2 separate regions of the Mus musculus genome follow, and region 2 is reported to be linked to region 1. The links are microRNA targets in miRTarBase. Many come from high-throughput screens and were not tested one by one. Region 1 holds a microRNA gene; the other region holds the end of a gene's coding sequence.

Region 1 (3,197 bases):
CAGCTGTTTCTCTTCACTGAGACACCCAAGCGGGAGTGTGAAGGCTCTGTGGATCTGGGGGAGAACTGCAATCAACCCACAGCAGCTGTGATTGCCTGCAAAAGATTGGGTCCTTCAGCTGTGCGATGGAGAAAGGGAGAGTTTCAGGGATGTGGCCCCTACTGCAATTAATGGGGGAAGGAGAGACATTTTCTTCAATAGTATATCAACTGGAAAGGTTCCTACGCTCCTATAAACTGTGCTAATTAAGCTTAATAGGTCACAAATGAAAGGCAAAAAGATATAAACTTAGAAGGCTGGTTAGTTGGGAAGAGGTAAGGGGTTAACAAGACTAGGAAAGAGAGTGATCAAAGAACATTATGTATATATATTAAAAATTGCCATGACATTCATTTTATATATAATACATTCTAACACTGTTTTTAAAACAAAACCTTACTCTATGATGTTCTTTAAATCTGTTACTTTAATAAAAATTATTTTCAGACAATGGAACATCAAGAACGATAAGGAATGAAAAGAGCACTGGCTAAGGGGTAAGAGTGATCAGAGAACATTGTACACATTGTGAAAATGTCACAACAAACCCATCATTTTATAAAATTAATATATGGTGATAAAACATAAAAATAGAAAATTTTCTTAAAAATTAAAATTGCAGCATTGGGACGTAAACCTGGCATCTTCCTCCAAGTCATGGAGTAAGATATCAGAGAAGCAGAACTGGGCACAGTGTCAAATGCTTGTCATCACCCAGCTGGAAGCCTGTGGCAAGAACTTAGTTCAAGACTTCACCATGAGCCCATGTCTCAACAAAGCAAAAAGGAGGGAAAGAGACAGATAAAGACAGAGGTGGCAACGTGCCACAGAATCTTCAGCAAAGTCACGTAGGAGACCTTCATCCAAACACAGACAATAAGGAGTAGGTGTTCCCCCCCAAAAGGTAATAGAACATCCCATTACACCCAGCCACTAGACACAGAAACCTGTGGAAGATGTGGCCTCCCTGCAAACACACTGTGGGTTTCAGGATCTGATGGGCTAAGGGAGCAGCTGTACTCTCCATGTGAGATGCCCCCTCATGACAACCACAGACTCCTTTCCTAAGTATCAAAGTCCTAAAGTCCACAGATAACAACAGAGCAACTCAATGATTTACCACAAATATCTCAAAATAAAACTACTAATGTTTCCAAAGAGAATAATGTACTTATTGAAAACAGTGTTCGATTTTTTTGCAGATCTTTTTGCCTTAGGGTACATACTGTAGCGAGTGGTCAGAGACTGTTTTAAAGCTCTTTAGGCTGGAAAAGGTATGAGGCAGCTTTTCACTACTGGAACGAAACATTGAAGATAATTCACTGAAAAGGTGGAGGAGTTTCTTTTGGCCTCTGGTTTCAAAAGACGCTTCTTATAGTCTGATGGTTTTACTATACTGGTTCCATCCATCTAGTGACTCCAATAATATCTCCTTAGTTGTTGGGAGGATCCATTGATGCGTCTCATCATTGGAAAGTTTCACTGATGTCACTCAGAGTTGAATGGCCCCACTGATGGTTCTCATGGTTGAGGCACCACTGGCCTGTGGTAACATCATATATGATGATTGGAGTCATGTGGCAGACAAAAATAGGTTTACCTCACAATGGCCAGGATGTACAGAAGAAAGAGGAAAGGACCACAGGTCCAATAATTTCTTCAAGGGAATACTGTGTGACCTAACTTGCTCTTGCTAGGAGATTCCTCCACCACCTCCTTCAGCTGCTTAAGACTCCGTCCCTCAGAACTGTTTGTCTCAATTGGCCATTTAAGTTTAATAAAAGTAAAAGACTGGTTAATGATAACAATGCATCATAAAACCTTCAGAAGGAAAGAATGTTGTGGACCATTTTTTTTTGTGTGTGGCAGTTTTAAGTTATTAGTTTTCAAAATCAGTACTTTTTAATGGAAACAACTTGACCAAAAATCTGTCACAGAATTTGAGACCATTAAAACAAGTTTAATGAGAAAAAAAAAAAAAAGACTCCGTCCTTAGAAAACCATCATTTCCTCTCTTCATTACTGATAACTGATTGGGCTCATTCCATTTATTTGCTATGATAAACGCTGCTTCTCAGTAAATAAGCACTCTTTAGATTTGTGATTTATGAACCATGATAATGACAGTAGAGGCGTCATGAAACATATCCTTCCCCCTCCACCTCCTTGAATCTGATAATGTCCCACAGTGAAATACAGGAAAAAATACTGGTCATGATTTTTTTTTCTGCTCACACATATAACAAAGGCAACCATATTGAACTTACCATGCTATGAAAACTTCACACCACATAGAAAAGCTCAAGTGAATGAGTTGTCATATGAAGAGAGAGACAGACCGGCCACTAGTCAGAGAAGTTAGTCACCTATAATGTGAATGAAGGCTCCATCTTTGAAGTGTATCTCTAGCCACAGCTGAAGCTACCTCAGATGACACTAGGTAGCCCCTTCGGAGGTCCTGAATTATATAACAATGAGGCTTTTAAATAGGCTTTTAAGACTCAGATATGTATTGCAGAGAAATATAACAAAAACCAGATGTTTAATTATATATAATAAATTATATTTTCAGTTATAAACTTATTTTTTCTTATGGCTGACCAAATAAATTCTCTTCACATGTAATGAGGAGAAAATGGAAGGTTACATTTTATTTCAATCAACTTCTAATTTTAGACATGGCCCTATCCATCATAGCTAGCTATACATATATATACTTTATAACTACTGGGTTCAATAGTAAATTTGTTCAAGTTTTGTTTAACTCTCTGGAAAGTTGCCTTCATATTAACAAAGTATTTCCTGGTTTCATTAATGTCTCTTGTTTCTACAGCTTTTAAAATATTCTGTGCCATTCAAATACTTAGGTGATGTCTCAGAAGAAATCTAGATAATAAAATGAACCACTGATTTCCAATAAAGGACATTACAGCTCTGCTATTCCAGTTGAGAATTTCATCTGGCTTGGTCAGAGTAAGATACACAGTCACATCTGTACCATGAAAATATTTAAAGATCAGGACCACAGAAGGAATATTTTTCTTTTTTTTTCCATGTTTGCTTTATAGAAAATAATATGAATAGTGAAAATTTTTATTATTTATTTATTTATTCATTTATTTATTTATTTATTTATTTACATCTCAAATGTTGTACCC
Region 2 (3,089 bases), not on the chromosome of region 1:
GGCCTCTGCTATTCAGTCTGTATTTCTAATGAGCGCTAAGCAAATGTATATTAACATGTTTAAAATAGACCACAACAATAATTTGAATAAATTGAATTTCTTTTAACACAGGGACACACCAACATCAGCGGGACCAAACTCCTTTAATAAAGGGAAGCATGGCTTTTCCGATAACCAGAAGCTGTGGGAGCGAAATATAAAATCTCATCTTGGAAACGTCCACGACCAAGACAATTAAGTGAAGTGTCTGAGACTGGGGTGTGGGTGGGTGCAGTTAGAAGGAGCAGTCTCCTTTTTGTAAAGAATGGTGTAAGACTAGCTTTGGAGCCGTTTTTCTTTCTTCTTTTTTTCTTTTCCTTTTTTCTTTTTTTTTTTTTTTTTTTAAGATTGAGTGGTACACTAATAAATGAGAGTTTGCAATTAGAGGTAATTTATGTTTTATATACAGATTTCAAGACATTTGCTAATTTTGTAGTTTCACATGATTAGTTTCCAAGGGTTACAGATAATAAAGAAATCACAAGTGGTACCTTTCTAAGAATTGCATATTTTTTTAGACACAACTATTAGCACATTAAGAGGGAAGCCAAAAGTTATTGTCTGCTTCAAACTGGAAGCAGTTCCTCTCCTGACTTCTCCCTCGTTACCCGACTGTCCGGCTCCCTGCAGCAGCCTTACCGAGAGGGAGATTGGCTTGAGAAGCCAGTGTTACTGTTGTGACTGTTGGCTGAGAGGAAGTTTAGATGAGGTTCAAGTAAACCCTTTCCTGCGGGCATTTCGTTTTGTTTCGGGCCATTCTAGCTAGTACTGCTTCGCTCTCAGTGGGTACCGATGCTTGCTCTGTAAAAATAAATTTTTTTCGTTAAAAATTCTTATATGAAGAATTGAGTATTATGACTAGCCCACTCTAACGGAGTGTGTCTCCGTTGAGGACCTTCAGAGGACACTATTTGCTACCAAAGTGAACCAGTATTCTGAATGTGCTTCTCTTGGTTTCTGTTCTAGTTCCTAGAAGCATTTCCACCAGAACTTGAGGCAAAACATAAGGAAGCTGTTTCTTTTAAAGTACAAACACCACCAAAAATATCAGTGTACATAGTGCTTTATGTATTTGGCTGGCTTTTATTTTTTAAAAGGTTTAAATAACAAAAAAGGAAAAAAAGGTATAGCATTGTATGAAGGCAGATGAGGCGACACACCTGTGACATTTGAAGCATTTGTGTTACTAACTTACTAGATCCGGTTTGAATTGAATTCACAAGGTTTCTTACTTGTCCAACTCCAGGCTTATTTTACGTACATACAACCTGACCAGTGGTTTCAAAAGCACATTTAGTGACTGCAATAGGACAGAAATGCTTCTCTAGACACATCTTCATTGCGAGCGTCTCATCGCATATGCTCTTAGAGTTCTGAATGTAGGATGTTTGTTTTGTATTTTTGTATTGTATATGGGCTTTTTAAATGTGACAGTTAAATGCATCTTTAATAGTCACAGACAAAAGAGATGATAAAATGTCCTTTGAAAATGGCAATGTTGAGTTTGGAGGCAGCTTCGGGGAGTTTCCTGGGTGGCGATGATTCACTGGGCAGTTTTTAATGTAGTGACTTCAAGAAGCAGCCTGCGGATATTCCTAACACTTGGTTCACTACAGTTTAGTTTACTTCATAAGCCCCAAGTAAAACGATGGAAATGTACATAGCACTATTAGTTCATACATGATTTAAGTATATCAAGATACATAAATTTAACATTTATGTCTGCAAACTGTCCATTTGTCCATTTTACTGTTTGTTGAAATAACACCTCTCCTACATATTCTTTACTTGACTCGAATAACAAATTAACCTGACGTCAAGATGGAGAGAGACGACTGAGCTGAATGTCTTTACTAAAATTACAATAAATTTTGTCAAACTTGGTGGTGGTCTTATTTTCTTTCTTTTTTTTTTTTTACTGTGTCTTTGAAAATGTTTTTTAAAATAGTCTGTGTATATGGCATGCTGGTGAGTTCAAGGAGACACAAAACATTGTGAAAATATTGCCACTTAGAAGCATGCCCCCAGAACCTCTTACTGCTCATTAGACAGTCGTCAGAATAATGTGTTAGCATTATCTGTTACTCTACCTGACTCTGGTCGGCAGATTCTTGCATTCCATTTACAATGCTCTTATATACTCTGTCCGAGAGGAGCTACACTATCAGCTCCTGAGATCTCTAAAGACTTCCTTTTCCTGTGTGTTTATTGTGAGTGTCCATGCACATGTAGCACTGTACTCTAGTAGATCAGACAGAGCACACTCTGAGGGATTCTGTTCTTCTTTTTACTCTCTATGCACTGCATCTCAACTGTGCCCCCCTCCCCCCCCCCCAACACACACACAACACACACACTCCTCCTAGTTCGTCCCCCACCTCCCTTCTTCCTCACATCTATTCCTCCTGTTTCCCTACAAAAGAGGAGCAGACCTCCCAGGGATAAACTTTGAAAGTGGCCTAATGGTCAAAGGATTCTTTTTGTTATTTTTGACAAGGTTTCTCTGTGTAGCCCTGGCTGTCCTGGAACTCACTTTGTAGACCAGGCTGGCCTCACAGATCCACCTCTGCCGGGATTAAAGGTGTGCACTGCTACCAGCACCTGGATGAATGTCAAAGGCTTCTCAAGCAGTGATTTAATTAAAGGACTGAACCTAAGAGGTCTCAGATGTAGGAAGAGAATGCTATCTATCCTCGGGTTAGGGAAAGGACAACTGAATAAGAGAGTAAGAAAATGGATTGCTAGGGCAGAAGCTGGAGACAGCTCCGTTTTGAGGGTGCTTGCCTACTGTACAGAAGGCTTGGGTTTGATAGCCAGTCCAAAACCCAGACACTGCCGGTAATGCACATCTGGAATCCCAGAACTTGGCCGGTAGAGCAGGAATAATAAAAGATCTTGAGGCCTGCCTGGATCACAAGGACCCATCTTGGTCAGGAGGTGGTAATGCTATTATATTTTATGTCTTCCTGTTTAATCCTATTCTGTGTTATCTGGGTTGCTGGGAGAAATGAGAGTTGTCTCTAACGTGAGTAGCTCCAGCTGGGCTACAG

Evidence for each region. The annotated mature microRNA mmu-miR-703 reads AAAACCUUCAGAAGGAAAGAA and lies in region 1 at 1,856-1,876, shown strand. An mRNA with a match to its seed (bases 2 to 7 or 8) in the 3' UTR can be bound and repressed. Matches are read on the target gene's strand: a 7mer-m8 pairs with bases 2 to 8, a 7mer-A1 pairs with bases 2 to 7 and ends in A, and an 8mer does both.
Region 2: the mRNA of Pcnp is a reported target of mmu-miR-703. Seed matches in the 3' UTR shown: 8mer at 1,134-1,141 and 7mer-m8 at 1,260-1,266.

What each region holds. Positions count from the first base shown.
Region 1 is chr5:98,474,295-98,477,491 of GRCm38, reverse strand. Mir703 (microRNA 703) reads left to right here and starts at 1,828; the gene lies at 1,828-1,936. All of the region lies in intron 2 of Cfap299 (cilia and flagella associated protein 299), which reads right to left.
Region 2 is chr16:56,014,340-56,017,428 of GRCm38, reverse strand. Pcnp (PEST proteolytic signal containing nuclear protein) reads left to right here. Exons shown (of 5, transcript NM_001024622.2): 5 at 112-1,921. The coding sequence ends at 238. Among named protein-coding and RNA genes, the nearest start is that of Pcnp, 14 kb to the left of the region's middle.